4 linked regions of the Schizosaccharomyces pombe genome follow. The protein of the gene in region 2 binds, or shares a complex with, the protein of the main gene of each other region. Each region holds a gene or a part of one and is shown on either strand. Other genes may lie near its edges. The genes, in order: pam17, tim14, tim44 and tim16.

Region 1 (3,318 bases), 140 kb from region 2:
CTAGCTGACGGTGCTTTTTTTCTTCTCTTTCTTTCATCCATCGTAAAACTTCGAGACGTTCTTCATCAAGTGCCGATTCCAATGATCCTGCAGATTTTCCACCACCAGAGTAAAGAGCCGAAGTCATCCTTTAACAAATAATAAATAATTCAAGTTAGTTCGCTTTAACTAACTCAAATGTATGAATTGCCCTCACTAGTTTGTTTACTTCCGTTAGGTGGTAGATACAAGGTTGCCTCGTTTTCAACCTACGAATCCTACAAATAGCGCGCAGCGAAACAACATTTGATCTCCTTCGCTAATTTATTACATCAAAACTATATTAATGTTTACACATAAAGGTTCTTGAATTTTGGAGGAGTAATCAAGTTAAAACTGATACTGTAAACTATTAATTATGTTTTCAAAGGTTTAGCTATATTCTTTTTATTTGATCAGTTTCAGTCTTGTAATTTATAAATTGAACCAATGCATTTTTTAATTGTTATTAAAATTGTGTACTGGCATGTCATGCATTACAAACAAAAATGTTATATATTTATAATCTTCTAATATCTGCTTCTAATGGTTTTACCATGTCAGTTGTACAACAATCATAGAACAGACGGCAAAAGCTTGTTGCAAAAGATAAAATTCAATAGCAGGAGTGACATGTACAACAAATTATGTAAGAAATTGTATGCACGGTAAATTATAATTAAGATAATCATTACTAGAATTTCTCTACACATGGACAAAAACACTTGCTTGAGAAAAGTCTGTACTATAAGTTGAGACTATACAGATTTCAATAGATGAACTTCTTTTCACAAATACTGATACGGCAATGCTTCTGTATCCTTTTAGTTATCGTGTTAAGAAAAGAACCTCATCCACAATTCTATATGACAAGCTATCACTTCAACACTTCTAATTTAACGATTGCTTGTACGCCAAAATGCCCGTTGTATGTAAGCCTTCTGATCCCTCAACCAACGTCGATAGTCCTTTGCATAAAAGTTAGTAATCAGTGTACAAAGTAAATGAGTAGATAACACATATCACATACAGAAAGGGAGTAAATTTTCTCACCGTAATAATCTAATTAAGAGTTAGACATCAATCATGACGCAGCCTTCACAGCATACCTGGGATAGGATTAGAATAGCTTTCCATTTGAGGTGTAACCCTGTTTTTAACCAAGTGACGGTAAAATTCTTGTTCTCTCTAAAAAATTAAATATATTAGAATACTTTCAGAAAACATAGTCCGTAGATGCTAACATAACCCCTATTATCTAAGGGAATGAACGTACCGCTGCAATTTGTCTCGCTTGACTTTTATGAAGCAGTGTCCATATTTTTCTACCTATACTAGGGCCCAAAAGCCATCCAAGCCCTCCGGATGCAATAGTTCCAATAACATATAGAGTAAATAGATCAAGACCCATAATAGTCATGGTAGGGTCAACAGTACGCGTAAGAAAATAGGCGGATCCTAATCCTAGTCCGGTAAGTGCAGTAGGAATAGAAGTTAAGGTTTCAAAAATCCTTCTGCTTTTTCTTAATTTCAGGAATGTGGGCCAATTTAAATCTTGAGGTTTCTTCTGTTTTATAGACTCAGTGGAATAAGTTTTTACATTATAACAAGTTTTCCATAAAGTTAAAAATATTTTGGGACTTTGTAATCTTTTTACAACTAGACCAGGCCGTATAATAGGTATCATAACGAATCCTTGCTTGTTGGAAAATGTATACTTCATATACGTATCGCCTCAATTGCTCTTCTCTTTTTAACGTATTTTGTTTATTATTCCTTAGCAAGCGCGGACGCATACTAGGAAACGCAACTTTTTTTGAAAGTACGCTAAAATAGCTTAGTGAGATATAAATGAGAGTTTAAGTAAATTATTTGAAACAATATTACGGTTCGTGTATTTCGCCATTCTCCTATTTTATTCATATCCTTGAGTCAGTTGCAAGTTTAGTGTATTTTTTTATTAAAAATCCATATTATTATTTATTTATCAGCATTTGAAAGTCTGTCACTTGCTGTTGGATTTAGTATAATGTCTGGGAATTCAGGCGCCTCTGAATCGATTTCTATTGAGGAGACCAATAGAATTAGAATTTCGCTAGGCCTCAAACCCTTAGATATTTCAGAAGAAAAACCTCAGAAAGAACTTTCAGATGCTTCAGTCAAGTCTTCGTATGTCGATCAAGAACAACAGGCCTATGAAAATTGGAAGAAACAAGAGCAGGAGGAAATAAATAGGAAGAAAGAAGAAGAACTGAAAAGCAAATTTGAAAAATTACGGCAAAAGAATGAACGAAGACGCAGAACGCAAGGAAAAACACTCGCTGAAACATTGGCAGAAGAGGATGATCAAATCGATGCTAACGATACTCGAGCGTGGATACTCAAAATGCGTAATTCCTCATTGAATAAAAATGGCAATGGATTGAATTTTGAAGCGAAGAATGACGCCCCCAGAAGATCCACTCTACATTCGCAAAATGCTGGTCCCAATGTGAATAGCTCATTAGAAGGAATGAAAATAGCACACGGTTTTCAAGATTTAAACAAGAACGATGGTCTAGTCCTTACATTGAAAGATGCTGATATATTAGACGAAGATAATCATGATCTATTAGAAAATGTTGAAATGGTCCAGCGGAAGACTAAAAACGAAAGGAAGGAAGATAACCCCTACAAACCGTATGAAGATGAGAATGATTTTCTTCAACAGTCGGAAGCAGATCAACCGTCTGAAGATACTTTTACGACCATTGGTCCACAAAATAGTCTCACTGTTAATTCTACTATAGAAAAACATAAATCTGATAATAAAAAAACTTTTGGGACTCTTGTCTCTTTCGTTGAACCAACTATCACTGGCAGCGAACAATCAGATTATCGACAAATAAAGATTAAGAAGTCAAAAAAGAAAAAGTCAAAGTCTGATCGGAGAAAGCGTCTAGTAGAACTTGATGCAGAAAATGAAAATGAAAATGACCCATCTGATTTCGTGCTACCGAATGGTCAGAGTAACAGTGATCTGTCAGTTGAGCAAGATTCGGCTATTTTCAAAGAACAAAAGAAAATGAAGATTCAAAAGCGTATGCGCGAATTAGAAACACAGTCGTTTGCTGATGATGATGATTTGCAACAGTCAATTGCAATGCAGAGGAGGCTAGCTCAAAAAAGAGCGAAAATACTTAAGCCAGAAGATGTAGCTGAGCAATTGCAGAATGCCGAAGAAGTCACAGATATGACGGACTCGGACACGGCTTCCGGTTTAATATTTGATGATACGCGTGCTTTTGTTAATAGCATAAA
Region 2 (3,950 bases):
TGGAGGCTCTGTACCATATCTTTATAATCATACTCCTATTGTTTCTACAGAGGTTGACGGAGTTCGAATTCTTACAAAAGATTCAAGTGAATTTCTTCGCAAAGTTCCTGCACCATTGGAAAACATTTTTCATATAGGTTCCAAAACTCCTGGAGCAAAATTAGTCGAGGCTTTCCAGAAAATGAAACTAAAGTCCGTTTTTGCAGAAAAGATGTTATTAGAGTTAAAAGATGAATTACATGATGCAGTTGATACTTGTGTTCAAGCAAGTCTCAATGAATTTTCTATAGAATGGCAAAAGGTGTTACTTGAAGCAGCTTCTCTTGGAAAAAATAGTTTGCGAATGTACAATCATCAAGAATATGTGGATGTTTGTCGTGAGTTAAGAGTTTTGAATGCTGCTAGAGACCCCAATGTTGGGATTTACATTACTCATGAAGAATACTTGCATCTAGGTTTAGAAAGGCTAATCCAACGATTTTCGTGTAGACAATTATATGGCCTCGCTGTTCAGGCATCTATGTGGATGCAGATTCCGTGTGATTGGGTCTACATACAATGGGCTCAGACGTACATAAAGCAATCTAGTGAACCAGAGGAGGTTGTATTGGATAATATTGTTAAACGACTTTCGTCCAGAAAATACATATCATATGAGAAAATTGCTCGCACAGCTTATCAAGAAGGTCGACTAATTCTTTCAACAAAGCTCTTGGATTTCGAGCCTTTAGCTAAGCATCAAGTAATGCTATTGTTAAACATGGAAGCATATGAGCAAGCTTTAAAAAAGGTAATAGAAACTATGGACAATAACCTGATTATTTACGTTGTGCTTCAAATCAAACAACAAATGGCAATAGCGTCTTTCTTTCAAATTTTAAATGAGTATCCTGATGCAGTTAAGGTTTACGTTGAATTTGCCAAAAAGAATGATAGAAAAACTTTACACGACTTCTTTTACCAGGACGATAACAAACAAGGAATCGCTGTTTTAGCGGTAGAAGATACTTTAAAAACTGCGACAGTCAATCAGCGCATTACCTCTTTAAAATCAGCAGCTAAAGTTTGTTCAGAATCCAAGGAACTATCACTTGAAGAAAAATGTTTGGGAGATGAAATAAAATTATTACAATTACAACAAACTTACGAGGATCAATTCACTGGTAATTTTGTTGGGCTAACAGTAAATGAGGTTGTTGTTAAATTGATTCAAATTAATCAAACACAAAGAGCAAACAAATTGAGGTCTGACTTTCAGATTCCTGAGAAGAGATTTGCTTGGCTGAAATTAAGAGCTTTGGTAGCCATCCGTGATTGGGTTCAGATTGAACAATGGGCAGGCTCTATGCGAAGATCGCCAATTGGTTTTGAGCCTTTTGTTACAGAAATCCTTAGTGCCGGAAATAAAAAAGAGGCTGCTAAATACATACCACGATGTACTCAGCTTACTACACAAGAAAAAGTGGATATGTGGGTTCAAGTTGGGGACGTGAAAAGTGCTAGCGAAGAAGCAGCCAAATCAAAAAGCGGGAGTGTTCTTGGTGATCTTTTAGAAAGGGTGCAGACCATGCCCGAAAGTCGGTTTGTTCAGAATGCACTTGATCAATTACGCCGATGACTATTAGAGATATCAATACCAATCTTTTTTTTTTAGGATAAAAAAAAAGATATAAATATTAATGACAAGAATCCATGAATGAAAAGCAACCCAATTGAATTTAGAATAATTTGGATATTTACCGTAAAATAGTTAGTTTTTTTTGTGAGCTAGTTTATATTAATTTTAACAAATTATTTTACAAGAAATATAAAACCCTGAATTTTATGTAATGCAGATTTTTATTAGTAGGATTAAAAGTTGTTATTTATTGGCAACTTAAGCATATACAAGGAGAACCAGCTTTCTTCCTCCACTATCCTCAAGGTATTGGGAATTGAGGAGAATATATATATTTTTGGTTACTTCTTTCACATTAAATAAGTTTTGAGATATAACAAATGGTATGAGATTTTTTTTTTGCCTCACTAACTAACTTATTTTTGATTAGTCGTCTGCTATTCTCCTTGGAGTCGGTATCGCTGCAACGGCTGCGGCAGTATGTGAAAACAGAAAATAAAAGCTTGACATTTGAAATGCTAATGACTTTAGGGGAAAATTGGTGTTGACGCATTCAGAAAATACCGGAATTTGAATGGCGGAGTAAAGGCCTTTCTCAAGGGTGGTTTTGAGTCAAAAATGTCTAGGGCAGAAGCCATTCAAATTCTGTCATTGAACAACCGTACTTTAACTCGACAAAAAATAAAAGAGGCTCACAGAAGGTTGATGCTTGCAAATCATCCAGATCGGGGTGGTAGCCCTTATGTAGCCAGCAAGGTAAACGAGGCCAAGTCACTTTTGGATGCAGATCGATCAATCCGAAAATTTAGTTCATGGGCACTCCCTGTTTCTAAGCAGCGATCAATGCCTAGTGTTCTTGAAGCGGTGAAATGGCTTGAATACAGCTCCATACCGAAAGCTTAAAAGTGATGAATAATGGTCTGCATCGTTGTTAATATTATTATGTGCTGTATCTGCTGGAGAACTAATGTTTTCTTGCTAAAATTTAGCTGAAAGCTATGATGCCCTTAATAGAACTAATCATTGTGTGAATTATTGTTTGCTTTTCCAAAAAACTTTTACTATTCAGTTGCAGACACCTTTTGTCAATTTATTTTATTTTTTGCTTCTAAAGATGTGTGTTTGCTCCGTATAGTACATCGCCTTCGATTCTTTTCGTACTCTTATATCAATCCTTTTTCGGAAAATGCGAAGGAAACCCCGAAATTGTATTTTTTTTTCTTTCTCTACGCTGGAGCTATTTAGTAATTTGATTTCGAGCGTCAATGATTTTGTCTCCTTTTTGATGGTTGTACCGAGTGTTAATAGTTTAACTCTTTTTTAGATTAAATTTGAGTCTCTCATATGTTTCCGGACACTTACTTTCCAAAACGTTTTCAATGGAAAATTGTCAGGTTCTTTTCCATGCATTCCGAGTATCAATTCACAACAAGGATAAGTTAAAAGAAGAATTCGAGCATTTGATTTCCTTAGTCGTAAACAATATCATTCCTTACAAAATGTATACTCTTTGAAATGATTTTAGTTTTTGACTTTTGCGCTTTGAATGACATTGTTAAAACCTACTTCAGTAACAGTTTATATGAAGTATGTTTATTTAAAAATTTATTTCATAATCATAATTAAAAAAAATGAATTGATTAATAAACATCGAAATTTCGCTTCTAACAATGATTATTAACACAGAAGCTGCCTTTACATATCACTCTGACGTTACCGTATATAAGTGCGTACTGTCAAATTTTTTTTGACTTAAACAAATACGTTCTCTAAGATTTTGTTTCTTAGTAGAGTAGGAAGTTTAGTATATTCATTTTTTTTTAAAGTGCATAAGATAATAAGAAACGCGATGTCTTTTCATATTACGCCCATATGGATGTGGAAAGGAACGGGCAACAACTATGCCTATTTGCTGACTTGTGATAAAACCAAAATCACTGCCATCGTCGACCCTGCTGAGCCTGAGAGGTAAGTGAAGAGAATGAAATAACGACTTAAATACTGTTATCTGTGATTTCGGAAACATGATTTTCTCCTCCTGTTTTCCGAATTGTTTTGTTTGTGCGCTCCGTAACATTTAATTAACCAAACTAACATTGACAAACTCTAGTGTTATTCCTGTCATAAAAGAGAAAACGGCGAAGAAAGAAATTGATTTGCAGTACATTCTGACCACTCATCATCACTATGATCATGCAGGCGGCAACGAAGACATTTTGAGCTACTTTCCTTCTTTAAAGGTCTATGGCGGAAAAAATGCATCTGGTGTCACATACACTCCCAAAGATAAGGAGATTTTCAAGGTTGGAGAAGTTCAAGTTGAGGCTCTTCA
Region 3 (4,150 bases), on a different chromosome or scaffold from region 2:
TTTTCTTTTTAGAAGACTTTTTTTTCTTTTTTTTCTTCTTTTCTCCATTGCTGGCTCCTTCTTCAGCGGCATCATTTTCCTCTACTTTTCCATCATCTTCAACCACGTCGTTCTCTTTCAGCGAAAGCTTCTCCTGTAAATCTTTAGCGGTAGCTTCAGTAGTTGTCGCAGAAGTCATTGTTTAAGATTGTTAAATCCTGTCTAAACAAATCTGATATAGGAGGAAGTTGAGTATATGTACCTCCACAGGTTACAACAGTGCTACCACCAAAAACCAGTAGTCATGGCAACCTATGCCTCAATTTTAGGAGATTATAATATACAAACAAAAGGATTGAGATTTACTTAATTAAAGGTTTAAAAAGGGATAATGAGTCGGATATCAAGCAACAAGTATCCATTTTAATTTTAAAACCAACCGTTTATTAATTTATGAAAGGTCAAATTCTCTACATCTATTTGTTAATATAAATGTTCCAAATTTTTCCCAATTTAAAATATTTCTTGCACTATTTAATCCAAAACTATTGGAAATATTATAAAACATGTTAAAGTGATTATGATATTGAGCTAAAAAATGCACGCGTCCTAAAATACGATTGTTGAAAAAGTATTAAACACGCGTATCCTTTAAGAAAAAGATAGCAAAACCTCAATTCTTAAACCCATCCCGCAAAACCCGAGTTAAATAAAAGATTTTAAATTAATAAAATCTTCTACTACATTAAAGACTTTTCAAAGTAGACAAACGAAAAATGTGATAAAAAAAAGAATGACAAGCTTAGACTTGTCATCAAAAAGAAACAAAAAAAAAAAGAAGATCGATCATTAGGGAATATCAGCGGTCTTCTTAAGTAGATGATGGTGGACATAGTCCAGGAAATCCAAGAGTTATTTCCAAACTTGACAAAACTTTTGAAATATTAAATAGTAATTAATCATATGAGTGACAGAGAAATATAACCCAAACGAAATATGCTATGCAGGAAGAAAAAATCTGATTCCAAAAAAAATGTTTACATGTTAAAATTAGAAGCCGATAGAAAGACAAATGTTTGGAATATTTTCGCATTTAGAAATAATCAACGGCTCGTGCACGTGCGAAATCAACGATACGCCAACCTCTTGTCTCCGGATTATCAAGCTCGTCTTCTACACGTGTAAAGACAGAAGCATAAGTACATTGTTGAATACGATCATCCTTTCCTGCAACTAATTCGCCACTGCTAGCATCTTTAAACATATGGACCTCTTGAGTACGAAAAGTGACGATAAAAACGGGAATATCATTTGGCTGTAAAAGTCTTTGAGACATGATGTCGACGCCACGAATGTCAAGGATTTTACCAACACTAACAACTCCATGTTTCGCATATTCCTTGGTAGTAGTTTCATATACGGAAAAGGGGGCTTCCGAAAGCCAAGTCTTCAACACTTCTTTGTCTCCTTTAACATATGCCTCGGTAACTTCCGGGACAATATATTCTCTTAAATATTGAAGGAAATGCTCGGTATTAAAGGATGGGTCAATCTCTTTAAAGCGTCGCATAACCTGCGATGCTTCAGTTTCTGAAAACATTCGAGACCAAACGCCACTAATACTGTCGGCCATGTCACGAATGGAGGAGACAATAGGATGTTCAGACTCCTGATAACTTTTTTTAAGCTCTTGAATTTTACGAACTAAACGCGATTCGTTTTTTATTTGCTCAACCTTATTCTTCCACGACGGGTTGCTATGTACGACGACGCTTTGGACGTCTTCGTTAGGCTGAATCCTTGCCGAGCTAGCAAACATTCTGTTTCGACGTTCAAATTCTTCACGCAATTTTTTACGTTGTTCCTTGTCAGCATAAAATCCATAACGTGAAGAGGTGCTACCATCAGACATTGTTTGCTTAATTGTTTTATAAAATGCAGTTTCACGTACGGGTTTTGTGGCAGTGTCAACACCAGTAGCTACAGTATTAGCGGTGCTTGAAATGACCTTTTTTGATAATTGTACAGGAGCACTTTCCCAAGCTTTTTGGGCATATGAGCCAATCTTGGCACCAGCTTTGCCAACAGTTTTTCCTGTGAAAGATGAAGCTGCAGTAGTTCCCGAGCGCGCTTTTTCGTAAGCATCTCTCGCTTTTTTGAAAGTGTCGCTTTCACTTAATGATCCTGAACTATCTTGCAATGCTTTGACACTGTCCTGTAATTCCTGGCTCTTCTTTAATTCTGCTCTAAATGTATCCATGAACACCTTGATTGGCGATTGAGGTGCTGCATTTTGAGAGAATATAGACGTTTGGAAAAACCGCTGGCATTGAACTATTGTGCGGGCATTTTTTGTGATTTTTCTTGATAGAAACATTTTCTTTCCTATTGAATAAATAAATCTCAACGCTATTACGCGAAAATTAATCCACTTTGCTGCCTTTTATTGCAAACCGATATAGCAGCCTAGTGAGTGGTGGATGGAAGGTTCAAGTGCCACAAAGGTGGAAAGATACCTTAATCCTAAATATCGAGAAGTAGTCTTTTGTTAACAAAAGTTAGCATATTCTCTTATATTTGGACTTTTTTACTTTACTAAGAGGAGTTTACGATTAGAATTTTTACGAATTCGCTCATTTTATCTGAAATGCAACTATTAAAATATTGATATAGAGGGAAGCATAAATTACGCATGATCCTAATATATTAAAGAATAAGAGTACCGATCAATTTCCTTTCGTATTGGTTGAAACAGTCGTAGCTGTTGCTTACAATATTGTTGGGAATCGATACCATGTGGGTGGTAAGAGATCGTATGAAGTTATGAAAAAAAGTATTCAATAAGCAGCATAGATATATTACAATGCGTTATATAGAACTGGATAATTTGAGTATGTAGCGGGTTTTGGAGATAAAAGCAATAGTATTAATTAGCATTTTGAAGTTTCGTTTATTCATTTGTAGAGATTTTTCAAATCTAGAAAAATTTAAAGATCTCTTAATTTTGTATCTTTTTTTTTTTTTTTATCAGTTTGATAGAATGTTTGTATGTAATTCTTTCTAATAACATGCGACGTTTGTTGTGCCCCTAAGTTTCTTTGATGAAATTTATTTGAAAATAAGGAAGTAGCTGGTTTATACAGAATTCAAAAGGCGCATTTAAGTTGTAGTAAACCTCGAATTTTTCTGATGATTAATGTGTTTCATGATTTTTTATGAAAACAGTTGTTGAAGCTCCTATATTATTTATCACAGGTTGTAAATTTTCAGCTTCAATAACGAAATGGGATACTTAAAGTCATAACTGATCAATTTTGGCAGACAGATCTAGCTTTAAAAGCTTAGATTCATTCAACATCAAGTTTATACGAAATGATCAGTTGTAATACACTTCCAACTTTTCTGATAATGATTCAGAATGATTACAACATAGTATAGTTGGAATGTAAAATTATTTGTTTCATGAAGAACTGGTTTTCCATCTTGAACACTAGACGATAAAAGCAACCTGAATATCATAAATCATCTTCAATCCAATTAAGCAATTCAAAAACAAAACAAAACAATTTATTATGCATTTGTAAAAGTAAAAATTTAAAAGGTGATCATATTTCTTCAAATTATCGCTTTGTTTACTATTTTAAATTGTGCAGGTCACAATTGAATGTCACCTGTGAAATAATAAACCAGCCTTGGACTATAGACAACGATGTTGCCAAGAACCATGTTTTCATATGGAAAAGAAAACGCTTTTCCTGTAACTCCCATATCAAACAGAAATGGTACAAAAGGAGCGGGCTCCAAAAGAGCACCATTGGGGTCTACAAAGCAGTCGAATGCACCTTCTTCTGTAACGGTTCCTAGAACGGTACTGGGAGGTAAGAGTACTAACATTTCCAAATTTATTTCTGCTCCCAGTACAAAGAAAATGTCTCCTATGGATATTTCGATGGATTCCCCTACTATTTTGGAGCCAAACTCACAAGGAATTTCCCGATCAGCCGTACAAGAGCGGTCGAAGCGACTTTCGGCTAGCCCTCGTCGTTCCTCTTTAACAGACACTCCTTTACCAAATGAACTTGAAGAAGATATCGAATATATGCCTCCTCCTGTTCATTTGGACCCCATTCAATCCCTGGGGTTTGACGACGTTGCAATTGATTGTGAAACG
Region 4 (3,326 bases), on a different chromosome or scaffold from region 2:
AAATTTCGCTTCTTTTTGACTCAATGCTAATATATGACACAGGTAATTTTCGCCATTATTCTCCCTCCCTTGGGCGTTTTCTTGGAACGTGGCTGTGGTGCTGACGTTATTATCAACATTCTTCTTTGTTGTCTTGGTTACGTTCCCGGTATTATTCACGCTCTCTATATCATCTTAAAATACTAAGCATCCCTCTATTTCAATCCTCTAATATTTGTTCTTTTCGCTACTTATCATGTTTATAAAGGAAAGTGAAATAGACATGTGTATTCTTTGCTTCTTCTCTTGTCTGTTCTAGGAATTTATTATTCGCTTCATTTAATACCAAATGTTGTGAGGATATCATGGCTTTTGTATTAGTAAACAAAAAAACGGATTTTCTTTACTAAGAAAAAAGTTCAAAATAGTATCACGGTTGTTTGCACTCATTTTTTTTTCCTTTCCCAAAATCGACTGTGCTTAACCATGATATCTTTTTTTATCCATAATTGGGCGAATGATTTTACCGTATACTTTTTGCTATAGCCCAATAGTCTTCTTGTTTTACATAAAAGAATGTTTTATCATTTGCTCAACTGGAACTTATATTCTTTAAATATATTAGTTTAACGGTTCTTTTTTTTGTGTCTTATTCATTATTTGTAACCAAAATGTATTTCAATAGTAGTGTGTAATGATTGATATCTGGGAATAGATTAGATTATTGATCTCTTCATGGTGCCCGCAGCCCAGTCTAACTTTAAGGATTGGCCAGCGACAGTTAAAAGTCGAAAAGTAAGTTTTGGCTTAACCTCAGGCTCTCGTTTGAAGTCAATCCATATCAATGTACATCTCTCATCACATTGACAATATATGGCTCTGGTTTAACGGCATTGAGGGTATGTGGATAGCTAGACTAGTGTTAATTTTCCTTTTATCATAGTACAGGGCATATTCAAAAAAATATGAGGATATCAACCTCCTCACATTTCTTCAACTATTCGTAAACAAAAATATATCCCATTGCTTCTTTTTTTCTTAAAAAAAAAAAAAAGATAGATTCCATTTTACATTAAATTAAGGTAGACGTGTCGGTAAATACGTAGCAATAGCTAGCAACCCAAAATCAAAGAAAGTTTTAAGGTGAACTGGTTGGTTTCGCTGGGGATTGTTCTTGTATTTTTTGATCCAGTTCACTTTTCAATTTTTCATGAGCTCGGAACACTTTGCTCTGGAGGTAAAAAGATCCTCCTTTTTTAGGATCATTAATCTCAAACATTTTTTGAAATCGTTTTTCTAACTCTCCTTCTTCTAATGATTCTGGCTTAATGTTTAAAATGCTACCAGCTTCTTGAATAGTCATTTCACCTCGACGAACAGCAGTTGATGATTTGGAAGCAGCAGCTTGACCAGTACTTTGTTGAGCTGCATTAGCAATCATTTGCTTATAAGCTTGTACAAAAGCTTTGCTCATTACTAATATTGTTAGGGTTTTTAATCTTTTGAATAAATCCTTGATAGGAGAATGGCCACAAACATACCTTGCGAACCAACAATTATAAATCGACCGACAGCCCTTGGAAGCGACATTTTTTAATGTAATATAGTAATTTTGAACAAATAATTATGATAAATGTCTTCCTTTATTTTATTTTCAGACATACACATGCCCTAAACAGGAATTTTCACAAATTTTCTTGTAAAAAGGGTGGTGGTAAAAATTCCTTATAAGGCAGATTTCATATCAAAGAATCTAATACTACTTCCAAATTACAACCTTGATTTAATAATAAGAAGCATAAAGTTCACTATTTTAGACAAAAAAATATTAATATATTATGAATTTGCTTTATATTCTTTACTTTGTTTTACTACTCGTCACAATTCAAAGATCATGTAAACTGATTGTAAATTCAAATCATCTTATTCATTAGGGCTTCTTATACTCGCTGAAACAGTATGGTAATGGAGCTTAAACATAGTGACTTAATAATAAATATCATATTAAAGCTTTAACTTCATACTGAAAAAGGAATGCCGTGAGCACCGGGAAATCCAGTCAATGTCAAGTCAATTGAAACGTTATCGATTACCTCAAAGTTAGTAGGATCTGGAAAAAGTTTCTCGGTCACGGAGCCAGGCTGTTCAAAATGCATCGCTTCAAGTTCCTTCAGCCTTCTTTGACATTCCGCAAACTCAACCATCGCTAGTTTATAACGTTCAACAGCTTCTTCCAAAAGTTGCTTTTCTAAAGCAATGTCCGAAACCTTTTTTTCCAATGAGTTGATCAACTCCTTTTGTTCATGAGTTTGGTTAGCAGTTTTAGAGCCTTCAGAGCTTTGTTCTTTATTTTGCTTTATCGCGGATTTTTCACGCTCCTCAAACTCCTTGAAACGATTATTGAAATTCTCGTTAGCTTCACTGAGTTTCGTGGCACGTTCATTTAAACTTTTCTCATGTTCTTCAACCTTTAATAGACGATTTTCAAGGTCCTTTTCACGTTTTTTAAGATCATCTTCTTTTCCATTCATCTTCAGTTCTCTTTTATTAATCTCATTCTCTCTGATTAACAGTTTTGACTGGAATTCCTCAAGAGCGGCTTCTCTTTTGGATACGAGTGTCTGCTTTCCTTCACTGTCATCCGCATTAGCTTTTAATGTTTCATAATCATAAGTTAAGTCGTTAATGCGTTCTTTTAATTCTTTGATTTTCTTATCCTTTTGTTCATTAAGATCATGCAGGGTTTTTACTTGTTTTTCTAGTTCATCTTTTTCTTGACTGCTTGTACTTCGAGAAGTGACCTCTGTTTCAACGTTCTTTTTTATTTCACCATCAGGCTTGGCTGCTTTATCCTCACTTTCTATTACCGCTAAATCCTCCTTCTCAGGCTTCTCCGCAACCGACTCATCTACAGAATTTTTAACGACATTTTCAGATGTTTCCGGAGACTGAGTAGAAGCATCGCCGGTGGATGCCTCAGCACCTTCAGCTGAAACTACATTCGAAGCAGAAATATCCTCAGTGTTTTCAACTACTTGAGTATTGTCATTGCCTGTAGGCTCATTTACTTGATTATTGCCATCATTAGATTCGCGGTCAACATTATCTTCGGCAACTGAATTTTTAGATTTAGCTTGGCGTTTTTTCTTCTTGACCTCCAGCAACTAGCACTCGTAAGTTAAATGTTACAAAATATTATGCATACCCTTTGTTTAGCTGCAGCTAGCTTTTCTTCACGATCTGACATCTTCAAATTTGATACAAGATGAAAATAAATCAACAGGGAGTTGTAGTGTGGGCAGAATCAGTAAAGTATAGGTAAGTAGGGAAAGTTTGCGTGAGGCTTA

The links.
Region 1: tim14 (region 2) and pam17 share a complex: the UniProt entries of both Schizosaccharomyces pombe proteins name them as parts of the PAM complex.
Region 3: tim14 (region 2) and tim44 share a complex: the UniProt entries of both Schizosaccharomyces pombe proteins name them as parts of the PAM complex.
Region 4: tim14 (region 2) and tim16 share a complex: the UniProt entries of both Schizosaccharomyces pombe proteins name them as parts of the PAM complex.

Annotation. Positions count from the first base shown.
Region 1 is NC_003424.3:1,553,087-1,556,404, forward strand, and holds pam17 (putative TIM23 translocase complex-associated motor subunit Pam17), read right to left. Parts: upstream 1,735-3,318; 5' UTR 1,706-1,734; coding exon 1,295-1,705; intron 1,207-1,294; coding exon 1,128-1,206; intron 1,081-1,127; coding exon 1,049-1,080; intron 987-1,048; coding exon 915-986; 3' UTR 501-914; downstream 1-500. Other genes in the region: protein Dbs2, read right to left, coding at 1-127; U4/U5/U6 small nuclear ribonucleoprotein complex subunit Snu66, read left to right, coding at 2,048-3,318. UniProt on the Schizosaccharomyces pombe protein: Component of the PAM complex, a complex required for the translocation of transit peptide-containing proteins from the inner membrane into the mitochondrial matrix in an ATP-dependent manner.
Region 2 is NC_003424.3:1,693,104-1,697,053, forward strand, and holds tim14 (TIM23 translocase complex subunit Tim14), read left to right. Parts: upstream 1-1,912; 5' UTR 1,913-1,998; coding exon 1,999-2,001; intron 2,002-2,028; exon of another isoform or gene 2,029-2,048; coding exon 2,049-2,096; exon of another isoform or gene 2,097-2,149; coding exon 2,150-2,521; 3' UTR 2,522-3,381; downstream 3,382-3,950. Other genes in the region: HOPS complex subunit Vps16, read left to right, coding at 1-1,618; hydroxyacylglutathione hydrolase Glo2, read left to right, coding at 3,468-3,586, 3,729-3,950. UniProt on the Schizosaccharomyces pombe protein: Essential component of the PAM complex, a complex required for the translocation of transit peptide-containing proteins from the inner membrane into the mitochondrial matrix in an ATP-dependent manner.
Region 3 is NC_003423.3:2,203,760-2,207,909, reverse strand, and holds tim44 (TIM23 translocase complex subunit Tim44), read right to left. Parts: upstream 2,448-4,150; 5' UTR 2,357-2,447; coding exon 1,073-2,356; 3' UTR 537-1,072; downstream 1-536. Other genes in the region: methionine aminopeptidase Fma2, read right to left, coding at 1-178; securin cut2, read left to right, coding at 3,704-4,150. UniProt on the Schizosaccharomyces pombe protein: Essential component of the PAM complex, a complex required for the translocation of transit peptide-containing proteins from the inner membrane into the mitochondrial matrix in an ATP-dependent manner.
Region 4 is NC_003423.3:884,859-888,184, reverse strand, and holds tim16 (TIM23 translocase complex subunit Tim16), read right to left. Parts: upstream 1,693-3,326; 5' UTR 1,570-1,692; coding exon 1,521-1,569; exon of another isoform or gene 1,456-1,520; coding exon 1,118-1,455; 3' UTR 538-1,117; downstream 1-537. Other genes in the region: plasma membrane proteolipid Pmp3, read left to right, coding at 43-186; SPOM_SPBC713.09 (uncharacterized protein), read right to left, coding at 1,998-3,143, 3,185-3,226. UniProt on the Schizosaccharomyces pombe protein: Essential component of the PAM complex, a complex required for the translocation of transit peptide-containing proteins from the inner membrane into the mitochondrial matrix in an ATP-dependent manner.